2 linked regions of the Lonchura striata genome follow. The protein of the gene in region 2 binds, or shares a complex with, the protein of the main gene of each other region. Links are inferred from orthologs where the notes say so. Each region holds a gene or a part of one and is shown on either strand. Other genes may lie near its edges.

What was found.
Region 1: the proteins of EIF2S1 (region 2) and EIF2B1 are in contact, whole or in part, in a cryo-EM structure (PDB 6K72), measured with the Homo sapiens proteins. The link is inferred for Lonchura striata from reciprocal best matches to the Homo sapiens genes EIF2S1 and EIF2B1. Residues at the interface, in NP_004085.1 of Homo sapiens: Ala28, Glu29, Met30, Tyr33, Gly44, Met45, Leu47, Leu48, Arg75, Lys80, Tyr82, Ile83, Asp84, Arg88; in NP_001405.1 of Homo sapiens: Gly39, Thr41, Ile42, Gln43, Gly44, Leu45, Arg46, Ala47, Asn48, Glu70, Arg74, Ser77, Ser80, Leu81, Glu82, Tyr83, Ser84, Asp85, Tyr86, Cys89, Leu305.

The regions. Positions count from the first base shown.
Region 1 is NC_134620.1:13,116,940-13,123,825, reverse strand, and holds the start of EIF2B1 (translation initiation factor eIF2B subunit alpha), read left to right. Parts: upstream 1-3,881; 5' UTR 3,882-3,939; coding exon 3,940-3,952; intron 3,953-4,147; coding exon of another isoform or gene 4,148-4,160; intron 4,161-5,349; coding exon 5,350-5,451; intron 5,452-5,527; coding exon 5,528-5,664; intron 5,665-5,737; coding exon 5,738-5,854; intron 5,855-6,043; coding exon 6,044-6,156; intron 6,157-6,774; coding exon 6,775-6,843; intron 6,844-6,886. Other genes in the region: GTF2H3 (general transcription factor IIH subunit 3), read right to left, coding at 1-47, 162-230, 445-498, 684-758, 843-871, 1,301-1,330, 1,566-1,628, 1,882-2,045 and 3 more.
Region 2 is NC_134608.1:32,778,402-32,785,457, forward strand, and holds the start of EIF2S1 (eukaryotic translation initiation factor 2 subunit 1), read left to right. Parts: upstream 1-4,056; 5' UTR 4,057-4,162; intron 4,163-5,948; 5' UTR 5,949-5,949; coding exon 5,950-6,190; intron 6,191-7,056. Other genes in the region: ATP6V1D (V-type proton ATPase subunit D), read right to left, coding at 91-170, 1,241-1,358, 3,750-3,790. UniProt on the Homo sapiens protein: Member of the eIF2 complex that functions in the early steps of protein synthesis by forming a ternary complex with GTP and initiator tRNA. This complex binds to a 40S ribosomal subunit, followed by mRNA binding to form a 43S pre-initiation complex (43S PIC).

The DNA.
Region 1 (6,886 bases), on a different chromosome or scaffold from region 2:
GGAAGGACAAGCTGTGATCTCTGCTCTTGATCAGGGAGAAAAACCCACTGCATGGATAGAGAGAAGTATTTTGTGAATTGGGATGGTATTCCTGTATTATCAGGTCAGTGAAGGGAATATCTCACATCTGACACACTGAAGTGTTTTTTTAAGTGACTTACCAACAAATACTGCAGAAGGGATGGCATGTGGGGCACTTTCAAATATATACCACCTGTAATATCACAGGCCTGGAAAGCAGAAACCATGATCAGATTGTTGTTTGATGACATGAACAGGGCACTTAAAATATCCCTGTACTGCAAAAGGCCTGCATGTCCAACTGTCAGATCCACTGAACATATTTCCACACCCACTCTTGATTAAAGGAAAGAGCTGAAGAACGTCTAACATCAAGTATTTATGAGTTAATATAAATGGTAAATAACAACAGCAAGTCTCTACCTGTTGCAGAAGACCTGAATCAGAGTCCAAGACACAGGCATCAATCAAAATACTCTGCAAGAGATGACATGCATGAAAAATAAATTTAGCCAAAACCCACACAGCCCTGTCAGTGTCACTGTCATGACTTGTTTCCATGATAAATGCCCTATAAATTATGTAATCATAAGATAAATTAACATTTGTGTTATTTACACAAAAATAAAAGGTAATATAAATAGAAAAAAGGCCAGCTTCACCTGTTTCTGTGCTGCAAAGATCACATTCATGAAATTCATGTATTGCAATGCGCTGTCTTCTGCAGCTTTTATGACCTAAATACAAATTCAAACTTGTTAGCCTACATATATCACTGGATTTCAAGACTAAAAGAAAACAGTGACAACAAAAGTTCTTACCAGAATCCTTGATTTAATTTCTTGATTGACTAAATATTAAAAAGAAAAAGAAATGCATCAACACCTTGTTTGCATCACCCCTTTAATTCTGTAGCATATGACACCTCAGAACATACTGGATGTTAGATCTAACAGGTCAGATAAAGTATCTATAGGAAACTATTTCCAGTCCCAGTGACAATTATCTATGGAGTAATTCCTCTCAACCTCCAGTTATTCCACAGAAATTCCAATTTATTTCCTTACAACAGAAAATCTCCATAAGGGTGTGGACTATTGATCAAGTCCTTTAACTTTTTCAATGTAGGCAACCTCAAAATAAACCTCCACCTATCAGTGCCAATTTTGGAAATGGGGGTGTATCCAAACATGTATATTTGTGTGTGCAAGTGTATTTATACCTGTTATTTAGGTTAAAATAAACCTTTCAGTGTTGAAAACAGGAAAAGAGGTGGTACCTTTTAGGTCTTTGCCCATCTTGTTGATGTCTACATTAGCTGGCATTAAGGAATCTACATTCCATTAGTGGAAATAACTCCATGATCCACACCACACATTCACCACCTCAGCCAATACACATTTTGATAAACACAAGCCACAGTTATCAGGCAAATGGTTCAGTTTTAAGTATTATAACAAAACAAGAAAACTAAAAGTTAGTACTATAAGAAACAGTGTTAAGAACACATAAAGGCTTTGAAGATTCTGTAATCAAAAGGATACAACAAAGTGCTTTAGCAAGTGATCCTGCTAACAGGGTTTCTGTTTGCTGGCCCTTCATGTCAGCTGCAATACAAGAAAAAGTGCAAAAGTTACTTTTATATACAAAAACAGCTGCTGGACCTAACAATACAAAATACTACACATTTTTATCTTTGGCCAATAATACTAAGGCAGAGGCCTGAAGTGTCAGGCCTGATAAACTCATCTACTTTAAGCATATTAAAATTCATATGATGAAAACAGAGGACATTTCTGCAACTCCTTGACAGTCCAAGCGTTTTCCAATTCTGCAAGCCTAGAATTTTCTTCTGCTTACTCTTTGTCATGAGGTCTTTAATCTCTTCTGCAATTGCATCATTTATTGCTGTTAATAATTCATATTTTCCATCCTTGCTGCTGGAGCAGTTAGATTCCATGGAAGGGCCTCCCTCTCCGAAGGGATCTGCAGCAGCCCAACGCTTCCCAGGGTACAGGAAACGGCTGAAACAGAGGGAAAGCAAAGTATTCATGTAAGAAAAAATGCTATAAATTAATCAGCTGCAGATAACAATATTCTGAAGTTTCATTTAAAATCTTTCTAATACGTTAGGCATTTGTAAGTTAGGTGACCTTCAACTTAAACTGGAGTAAAACCCACATTCAGCTCCCTCCTTTTAAGACATCTCTTAAGAGATCTGGTGAAATTCTTCAGCTGCACTTGAGGGTAGATCCTGAGATTCACAAACATCTGGAGGTAAAAATATCCCCTAAACAGGGAACTTCTTCAATTTGCATTGTTCCACTCCACACATATTCTACCATTCTCTCTCCGTGTATTTTTAAGTCTATTTAAGCCTCCCTTCTAAGTCCTTTTGTTGCTTTGTAAGTCATTAAGATTCTTTCCTACTTAGTTTCAGCTAATTTCTTTTTTTAAGACCATGATATATTACACAGTTTTAACTTGGTTTCTTGCCATCAAACAAGAAAATCAGGAGACAGATAGAGGAAACTGGAAACCTTTAGAAGCAGCTCTACCTTTCCTGAGTGTGACTTGCTATTACAGCGAGTTTGTTGGTGCGATTCATGAGCAGGTGAGAGTTTCCCAGCACCATCACTGCATCGATGCATTTCGACAGGGTGAACTGCTGGAAAAAAGAACAGAGCAGATGTAGCACAGTAACATTTACAGAGAAGCAATTCAGAAATAATCTGTGAAATTGTTGCAGTTTAAAAAACCTAAATTTGAAGATGCAGAATGAGCTTTTGCTGTTGAAAAAGCTCTAATGAACACAGAATGCTGCATAGGTATTTCAAAATGTTATGTGTAGTAAATATAATCTGCGCTATTCTTTATATGAAATATGCAATATTAGATACTTGTTAGATTATGCCCGTTTATATTAGTTCCCCCCCACCTTTGCAGGCAAGACTGGGTGTATATTAGAAACTGATTTACAAGTAAAAGGATTTGGCTTGGCCAGGAGATGGGCCATGTCAAGACTCCATGGGACTCCAGGTGTTGATCATCGGGTGCTGACCATCCCATAAACAGCCCAAGATGGATCTCATGGAAATCCTCAGACCAATACACGTGAATGCAGCGTTCCTGTAAATCTCATCAGGGATTCACCTACTCCAGACACTGAATTATTCCTCCTCATCACCAAAAAACCTATAGACTCTGAATAGAAGAAAAGACTGATTGCTGAAATCTTGGCCTCAAGCAGAATTTTCCCTATAAAAACCGCTTGGGCCAAGATAGAGGTGTGTGGGCATAGGGGAAAACCTCTGCTGAAGCTGACTCCTTGTTGCACACCCAGGGCCGACCCTGGGCTGGGCTCTGTTCTTTCCTTGTGGCTGGCTAGATAGAATTTGACCGCTAATAAAATCATTTTTTATTTTTAATCTGGCTGAATAAATTCTCATTTATAACAAAAAAGTATTACGATACCTGTTACACCCGAACATTAGCACAGTTCAGAAATGAAAGAAAATGACCGTTTCCCCCAGAAATGGCCATCAGCAGTGCCAGCGCCCAAAGGCCGTACCTCAGCCTCTCCCAGAGCCCTCTTCCCCCACCAGATCGGGTTGGTGTCGAGGACGACGATCAGCAGGCTCAGCTCATCATCTGCAAAGGGAGCGCACAGCGGCGTCACTGCGGGCCCCCGGCAGAGCGGTGAAGCCCCGGGGCCCCGCTCCCGGCCCCGCTTCCCCACGAGCCGCCCCCAGCGCGCTCCGCAGCGCGCCCGGACCCGCCGCGCCGCCGGGCCGCGCTCACCCGCGCTCATCGCGCCGCCCGGGCAGCGGCGGCCGCGGCGCCCGCGGATGACGCCCGGCCGGCGCTCCGCATCCGGCACGCCCCGGGCCGGCCCTGCCCAGCCCCGGCGGAGCGGCGATGAGCACGGACGGTAACGGGGGCGGTGGGCACGGAGGGTAACGGGGGTGATGGGCACGGAGGGTAACGGGGAGGAGATGGGCACGGAGGGTAATGGGGAGCGATGGGCACGGAGGGTAACAGGGGGGCGATGGGCACGGACGGTAACGGGGGGCGATGAGCACGGACGGTAACGGGGGCGGTGGGCACGGAGGGTAACAGGGGGGCGATGAGCACGGACGGTAACGGGGGCGGTGGGCACGGACGGTAACGGGGGCGGTGGGCACGGAGGGTAACGGGGGGCGATGGGCACGGACGGTAACGGGGGAGCGATGGGCACGGAGGGTAACGGGGGGCGATGGGCACGGAGGGTAACAGGGGGGCGGTGGGCACGGAGGGTAACGGGGAGGAGATGGGCACGGAGGGTAACGGGGGGCGGTGGGCACGGAGGGTAACGGGGGAGCGATGGGCACGGAGGGTAACGGGGGGCGGTGGGCACGGAGGGTAACGGGGGTGATGGGCACGGAGGGTAACGGGGGTGATGGCCACGGAGGGTAACAGGGGGGCGGTGGGCACGGAGGGTAACGGGGAGGAGATGGGCACGGAGGGTAACGGGGGGCGGTGGGCACGGAGGGTAACGGGGGCGGTGGGCACGGGGGGTAACGGGGGCGGTGGGCACGGGGGGTAACGGGGGTGATGGGCACGGAGGGTAACGGGGGGCGGTGGGCACGGAGGGTAACGGGGGCGGTGGGCACGGAGGGTAACGGGGGCGGTGGGCACGGGGGGTAACGGGGGTGATGGGCACGGAGGGTAACGGGGGACGATGGGCACGGAGGGTAACGGGGGTGATGGGCACGGAGGGTAACGGGGGGCGATGGGCACGGGGGGTAACGGGGGTGATGGGCACGGAGGGTAACGGGGGGCGGTGGGCACGGACGGTAACGGGGGTGATGGGCACGGAGGGTAACGAGGAGGAGATGGGCACGGACGGTAACGGGGGGGCGATGGGCACGGAGGGTAACGGGGGTGATGGGCACGGAGGGTAACGGGGAGGAGATGGGCACGGACGGTAACGGGGAGGAGATGGGCACGGAGGGTAACGGGGGAGCGATGGGCACGGAGGGTAACGGGGAGGAGATGGGCACGGTGGGTAACGGGGGGCGGTGGGCACGGAGGGTAACGGGGGAGCGATGGGCACGGAGGGTAACGGGGAGGAGATGGGCACGGAGGGTAACGGGGGGCGATGGGCACGGAGGGTAACGGGGGTGATGGGCACGGAGGGTAACGGGGGTGATGGGCACGGAGGGTAACGGGGAGGAGATGGGCACAGAGGGTAACGGGGGGCGGTGGGCACGGACGGTAACGGGGCCGCGGGGCAGCCCCGGGAGGCGCCGGACCAAGCCGGGCCTGACGCTCCCCGTTGCCTTCCAGATCTGATCGAGACGTTCAGGGCGCAGCTGAGGGACGACCCCGATGTCGCCTCGGCCGTGGCCGCCATCCGCGCGCTGCTGGGGTTCCTCAGGCAGGACCGAGGTGGGCCCGGGTGCCGCCGGCTGAGCCGCGGCTGCCGCCGGGGCGAGGCTCTGACCACGCGTGTCTCTCTGCCCAGGAGAGACCATCCAGGGGCTGCGGAACAGCCTGCGGGACGCCATCGACACCCTGTCGCGGGTGGACTCCTCGGTGGCCGTGTCCTCCGGCGGGGAGCTCTTCCTGCGCTTCATCAGCCTCACCTCGCTGGAGTACTCGGTAAGGGCTGCCCGCCCTGCCCGCGCTGCTGCCGGAGCCTGCCGCCGCTCACGGGCATCCCGCTCTTTGCCAGGACTACTCCAAGTGCAAAGAAATCATGATCGAGCGCGGGGAGATCTTCCTGACCAAAGTCTCTCTCTCTCGGAACAAAATCGCCAAGCTGTGTCACCCTTTCATCAGAGACGGTGCTGTGAGTAGGCCGGGGCAGCGTCGCTCCTGTTGGGTTCTGCTGCTGCTGGCAGTGAGGGAGGAACAGGAGGGGAGAGGAGTCTGATGGGGACTTCTGCACAACGTTGTTCTGCACGGCAAGGCATGATAAAAGTCAAGGTTTCCCGAGGCTCAGCAGATGTAATGTGTGAATTTATTTCTGTCCTGGCAGCGAATACTGACACACGCCTACTCCAGGGTGGTCCTCAGGGTGTTGGAAGCAGCTGTGGAGTCCAAGAAGCGATTCAGTGTTTTTGTTACTGAATCACAGCCAGATGAAGCAGGGCGAGTATTCATTGATTGGGTTTTATCTTGGTTCATAGGGTAAGTTACAGCTACCATCCGACTGGTCCTGCACTAAGAAAAGCTGCTAGGCTTGGTCGGAGCATGATAAACAGCAAGTATCGCTCATATCACATTATTCTGGACAAGTGAAAAAAATATCTAAAAAATATTGGTAATTAACTTTCCATACTCAATATCCTAATTAGTGTTATCTAGGTCTTCTTCAAAGGTTCACAACTTCTGGTCAGTGCCAGGCAGCCCTTGGGAGATAGGAGACAACTGCTTTATAATTATCTCTTTAAGAAGTAGGCTAAAATAATCAGTATTATGTTAATCATAGCAAAGTAAAATATATAGCTAACAATGTCATTTAAAGATGCCAAATAATTCCTTCAGAGCAGATGTTGTTGTATAAGTGAAGGAGTAAACCCTGCACCCTGCATAATACATGTCACTAACAACACGTAACAATTCCTTCAATTTCTATATCATAACTCATTTTCTGTTCTACCAGAAGGGGAATGGGGGTGGTCATAGGCTTCAGTCTTTCAGACAGTACTTTCATATTATTGTCTCTAAAAAAATTAATTTTTAAGGTCCAAACATTTTCTTTAATAGGCAAAAAATGGCAAAAGCTCTAAGGAAGCTGAACATTCCCGTGACTGTGATTCTGGATGCTGCAGTTGGGTAAGTCAGATTATAAATATTTTTCATCATAATTTCATTTTGA
Region 2 (7,056 bases):
TTACCTTTTTTTCCAAAAGAGGAAATAATAATTTGTTGATAGCTCTTTCCCATAGATAGGACAGCCTCACAAAAGCCCAGCAATCCTCACCTGAAATCTCCTGCTGTGAACTTCGCCTCAGCAAGTGAAAAGGCAGCTTCTCTCATCACCTCACCCATCAGCATCTTAGTCTGTTTAAAAAAGAAAAGGCAACAAATACAAGGCACATTGTTACTACTTTTCCAGGATAAAAACCTAGCAGCTTAAAGAGAAGAAATTGAAGAGAGTGAGAAAGTCCTATATGCATAGCTTACTCTCAAACTGGTAATTGTAATTCTCAGGTGACTGGCAAAAATAGAGAAATATTTCAGCTGTTTCACATTGTAGAATTCATAGAAAAAGCAAAATATTTGCCTTACTCATTAAATTCTATTACATGGGGGTTAAATAAGAACAATAAAGTGGCTCAGCAGGAAAATATTCTTGTTTCACATTGTATGAAATACTATGAGACAGCTGAAGGTTGTTTTCAGCATACAAATGTATACAGCTTTGTGAAGCTGCACTCTCCTCCCACTCTGTTTTTTCCCAATTTTTACAGATTTTTAGCCCTTGTAGCTAAAAACTATTGAGAAACACCAGCCTTTGTGTTTTAGACAATGTATAGGAAGCCATGACATGATGAGATCTTGTCTACAGTGTGGCAACAAAGGACCACAGCTAACCACGGACTCTGCAGCAGCTGCAGCAAAAACAGTACAACTAAACCCATCTGATAGGGCAGAACAGAACAACACAGAGTAGGCTCCACTGACTATCTCAGATTTGTCATCCATGTTACAAAGAAAGATGCAAGATGTTACAAAGAAGAAACTTTATAGATATGCAGTATTCCCTCAAGCCAGAAAAAGCAATAAAAATGGGGCTACAGAACATTTTAATACCCAAAGTATTTGGCAGTATCAGAGCAAATTCCCTGTAACATAGAAGAGATGATCGGGAACTTGTAAAACAAAAGAGAGCAGAGGCTAAGACTGTCTGGAAAGAGGGGAAGAATATTAACTCTTCCAAGTTTCTGTATCATTGCAGCCACAGAAACATAATGCTGCTCATGTGTTCTCAGTAGTCTCACTTACAAAAAACAGGTTAGCCAGAAAGTCATCCTATATTCCAGCCTATCTAATGAAGTTAGGAGAATAGGAATGCACAACAGACAGAACATTAAAGTGAGCCAAACAAAGGAAAATTCTAATTTACCTACCTCAATAATTTTCTTAAGGATCTGTCTGAATCGAAGTGTCAAAGCATCAGATTTTTTCTTCAAGAGGTTACGACCTGTTTGGGCTCCTTTCAAACGAGCCTTCATGATGGTCTGAGCCCTGGTAAGCAGAGGAATAAAGAAAAAGCATCCTGCATCATCTGAAGAGATTAGGAAAAAACTTAGGTGAAGTTTTCTGACATGTATATGACTGAAATTATGAAGTAACCATGAAACACCATTGCAGTAAAACAGGATGGCCACTTCAGGACAGAATTTTAGATTCCCATTTAAAATCAAGGGAATTTATATTTATCTCCATCATCAATGAGAACTACAAGGTTATTATCTGTGAAGTCAAAACTCATGGAAAATTGACAAGACATCTTTCAGTGCTTCTATAATAGGAAATAAGAGTTTTCATTTTTCTTCATGACTTGGAAGTACCAGAAATCAAACTACTCCAAATACCCAGTGTCGCTGTGACATGGGTATTGCTTTTAAGTTCTTTTACTGCCATGCCACCTTCTCAAAATCAGACAAAGCAAATTCTTCATGTGGTCATAACAGTTGATGCCATGTTTTGATTTTACAGAGCAAGAAGATGCAGCAGTTGTACATTCTGATTTTCCTTATGCTTATATGCTGCATAGGAGATTTACAAGCTATCAAAGACAATCAAAAGCAGCGACAATTTAAAGGGATATTAGTGAGTTAGCTGTAGCTTTCACCTTTACATCCAGTAGCACACTTACAGGTTTCTTGTGTGAAATTAGAAACTGCACTGCTTTCTACATGCAACCACTGTGCACAAAGGACACCGCTTAAGTCAAGTTCTTACACACTTCCTCTCTGACCTTGGAAAAAATAAGTATAATTAAGATTCTTTCTACACAGTGGAATCCATTACTGACCACATCTACTAGTATATGATGAGAGTAGCTCCATTAACATCTACCAAATACGTCTAACTGAAAACCATTAATACTTTATGAATGTTTATGATTTAAAAAAAAATCAGAGAGTAAAAAGGGAACTTTCCCAACAAGCAGGTGGCTGTCATCACCTTGAACTAACTTGTTTGCTCTGTTCACCACCTGCCAGAGACTGGCTCGTCTTCTAGTTCAAGCAAGACCTCACTTGCTCTGAGAGTGCAATAAACAAAGTTTTGTTTACTCTCAAGGAAACTGAGCAACTTCTGGAATTGAAGACATCCAGCACAGAAGAAGAAGCTCATACCAGCAAGCTACTTTATAACAACAACAAAAAAAACCCCAAACCAACATAAAAGGTAAACCTTGTGAAATTCTCTTCTGTCAGGTAACAAAATTATTTGTTGCAGACACAGGTCATCTTTCTTTTGCCATTCTAACTTATATTTCTTTGGGAACAGCACCCACATTATTGCCTATCACCTCGTTTAAAAACGGGCTTGTAAATATTAGGTCTTTGTATATGACCACCCTCATGCCACAGTGACACATCACCTCACAAAACCAAGTACCTTTCAAAAGTGATTGAAGTGCCCCCTCCTTGCACACCTAAACTGAATGGAAAAATGCACTACCAAAGAGCAGGAGTGAGGCCAGATGACTTAATGTATGCAATAATTCATTCCCGTGTATGCAATAGTTTATTTCTAAACTAAATTTCAAAACAAAACCTTTGCCATGTAATGTATTAATCTTTCCATATAAACTGTTACTTTTTATGTCCTGAGCTCCTACAGAGTGAATAATTATTGTTTTATGTTTGAGGGTTTTTGTCCTTCAAGGCATCCTTTTTATTATAAAGATTATGTGCAGGCAACCCATTTTTATGCAAGAAGATTTAAAATAGCCTTTCACCTTAAAGCAAAGTCTGTCTGTCCTGGAGGGTTCTCAAGAGAAACTAAACAGTGTTATTAAACCAGCAATTTTATTCAATTGTTTGCTTTAGTTCCAGTGTTGTTGGCAGCTTTCTAAGCTTTCTCAGGAGACATCTGATTTCATGACAAACAGTTTGCTGTCTGGATCTGGAAAATTACCTGACTGTCCACTACACTGGGAGCACTTTACTTCCTTCTTTTAACGCGCTATGGCCAAGCTCTCGTGAAGCAGTATCCTCTGTTGCAAAGTTATGGGAAGCTGTCGTTCCGTTTGTCCATTTTTCCTACACATACATTCCACAAATTGTTCTTTTTTAGGTAAGGCTTGCGTAATCACATTATTTTAAATATCACACCGGCATCTCGGTGCCGGGCCCTGCCACGTCCCTCTAAGGCCAGACAGAGCTGACGCGGAGCCGGGAAGCAGAAGCTGAAGGTTGGGATCAGGGGCCCTCGGCGGCCCGTCACAGAACCGGGGGAGCCCCGCTCGGCGGCGCGGGGCAACCGGCGGAACGACTGCGAGCGCCGAGCCCCGGTGAGGAGCCCCGAGCGCCCCGAGAGCCGCCGCTCCCGCCGCCTCGGCAACGGCACGGACCCCCGCGCTCCCCCCGGGCGCTGTCCCGACCCGTCCCGGCGGACACTCACATCCGCGAGGGGAAGATCTCGATGCGGTCCTTGGCCGACATGGCTGCGGCGGGGCCGGCTCGGGCTGTCTCCGCTGTCACCGCCGGGGCCGGGGCCGGGACCGGCCGTCGCCGCCGCCCTCACGTGACTCGGCCCCGCCCCCGCGCGAGGCGGGGCCCGCGCGGCGCCGGGCGCGCCGCTCGCGTCACGTGTCTGCCGGGGCCGGCAGGAGGAGACGCGATTGGCTGAGCCCGAGGCTCCGGCCTCCCGCCGCCAGGGGGCGCTCGAGGGGATCGCGACCCCTCTCTCCTCCTCGGCGTCGCGGCAGCTGCGCAGTGGGGCGGCGGCGGCGGGGCGCACGCGGCGGCACGAGCGGAGCCAGCGCGGGACTGGGGTGCGCGAGCGCAGCGCGAGACCGCCCGGGCCGCAGCCAGGTACCGCCGCGCGCGCGGCCCGGCCCTCGCGCGGGGCCCGCGGCCGGGGGGGCCGCGCCGCTCGGGGCCGCGCCCGGCAGCCCGCGGGGCCGCGCCGCTCGGGGCCGCGCCGCTCGGGGCCGCGCGCGGGGCCGCGCCCGGTGCCGCGGGGCCGCGCCCGGTGCCGCGGCGCCCGCGGGCAGCGGCCGTGCCGGCGGCGCCGCTCGGGACCGGCTCCGTTTCTGCGGACGCCGTGCGGCCGAGAGGGCCTCGGCTGAGGCGTGTCCAGCCGCGGGAAAAGCCTCTGAACGCCAGCTTCGGCGCGGTGGGCCTAGTGCTGCTCCTGGGGAACAGAAGGCCAAAATAAAAACCTTGTGGCTGGGGAGAGGAGCGGAGTGGTGTTTGTCCGCTCTTGCTCGCTGTGGCTCGGGTTTGTCGCTTTGCAGTGCGGCTTGCTTGTGTACCCCAGAAGTACCGGCAGGATTGAGCAGAGCTGCATTCAGTAGACTAGAAAGCCAGACCGTAAAGTTTTCCTTTTTAACCTTGGAGTTCTTTGTTCAGCTTCAGCTTACATAAGTTATACAAAACATTCAGAGTGTTTTTATAATGTTTTACTAGTCTGTATTTCCCCTTTCTACAAGTTAAGAATTAAAATAAGGGTGGAAATGGTCTTCTTAATTGTGTGGACATGTGTACATAGCATTTGTCATTATCTGTCTACTCTGATTTTAAATTTTCTTATAGCTAGGAAGCATGAGCAAGGCTGTAAAGATCATGACTTAAAACTGGTGACTAAAATCTTCTGAAGGAGTGAAGCATTTGACTTGGCATCTTGGGCTGCTGCTGGAAAAATTTCCTGTAGAAAAATTTCTGTGTGAAACTTCAAGGCATAGACAACTGAACTAACTTAGACAAAACTTAGACTTTTAAGAGCATATGGATTCATTATCAAAAAAATAAAGCAGTTTAAGTATTCCTTCTTATCACTGCTTGATTATGAAATATTGCTTTTGCCTTTTTTTTTTTTTAATGTATAATGAAGGAATTCTGGTTTTTTTCATGTGACTTTGTTGGGTTTTTTCCCCTCCTGACTGTTGGGGGGCACTTTTTTCCCTTTTCAGTACTTCAGGCCAGGCTAGTTCTGTTCTAAATAATGCCTTTGCTTTCTTTGCTGACAATTGGCCTTTGGAACAGGTCTTGCAGGATTACTCTGAACATCTTGTGCTGAGTTTAAAAGTCATCTAGAGTCTGCTTCTCCTCAGTACTACAGAAACTTCCATCTTGCCTCTTATTTTGTTAGCCTCACATGCTGTCTTATGTGCATACAAAATGCTTCATGAGCACTGCATGCTTCTCTCTTATGTCCTCTTGCTCTTACAGTCCAGTTGATGATCCTTGAGAGTCCCAACTCAGAACTCTGTGAAAATGTTACACTCTGATGACTTTACATGCACGTGAGGTGTGCAGTCCCACCTTTCCACCACTCGAAGAAGCCTTTCCAGTGTTCTGTGTATAGGCAGTATGACAGGTGAAGTGTGTAATGAAGTCTGGGTAGCAAAGCTTTTTCTCCATTAAGGCAAAAAAATAGCATCTTAGGAAATGGTTGTGGTAATAGTATTTGAAATACAAGATAATTTATTACTTAATTTGTACTAAACCCTAAGTACAACCTTATCCTAATTGCTACTTTTTCTGCCACTGTTCTTCTCTATTGTCCCCAGTCTTTGCTGGTCTATTGCCGTGTTTGTAGGAGGAGGCAGTGATGTACTGTGAAATAAAACCTTTGATTTTTCTGCTTGAATTCCAGAATGCCGGGACTAAGCTGTAGATTCTACCAACATAAATTCCCCGAGGTGGAAGATGTAGTGATGGTCAACGTTCGGTCCATTGCTGAAATGGGAGCCTATGTCAGCCTGCTGGAGTACAACAACATCGAAGGCATGATCCTCCTCAGCGAGCTGTCCAGGAGACGCATCCGGTCCATAAACAAACTCATCCGCATCGGCAGGAACGAGTGCGTCGTGGTCATAAGAGTTGACAAAGAGAAAGGTATCTGGGCCTGTGGTGGGCTCTGTCAAGATTGAATTTGTAGACAGAAATGCAGATGAACTAAGCAGGTGTTTGTGGGTTTTGCTAGGACTACTTTTTTTGAGCATTGAAATAAAATAGACCATCACTGACCATACCTATGATTGTTCTTCTATTCCTCTTTGTTCTTTGGGAATTGGGTTAATGAAAGCAAATAAACATCAGTAAAAATTTAAGTGGGTCCTCACCAGATCAGTCACTGGACTATAGTGAAGTGAAATTTTCTTTTGGTATCTGTGTAGATTTTCTAAGTCAGCTGAAGAGAAGCATCATTTGCTGTAGATTCCTAGATGCTAAGCATTTAGTGCTGACAATCCATCCTGTTTGTTAACAAGTCTCAAACCTTATTGATAAAGGTGATGACAAGTATGTAATCATTGTGAATTCTGTAGGGAAAAGTTAGAATTGTACAGGTAGTTTTAGTTTTCCTGTCTTTTGAACATTTGAATCTTTGAAGGTTTTTTAAATGTAATTTCTATTGAGAAAATTTCAGATTTTGATAATATTATTCCACGCAATCTCTAAAATCTCTGTCCAGATGTACAGAAATAATAAACACTGAGCATGTCTCCTAGAAATATTAACTGTTGGTATGATGTTTCTCAAGTTAAATGCTCTTTTAGAATACTTCTGAGACTGCAGTTAACTCTGAGAATAAATAATGAATGACAGGATAAGGAAAAGCAGAGACAAAAGAAGGGCAAGAATAAACTTATTGCAGATAAATCTGAAGTGAAATAAGTTTCCCAACATCTCTAATGAAATTATACTTTTACTAATTAATCTTGTTTTCATATTAACAGAGAAACACATCTGGAATTCATCTA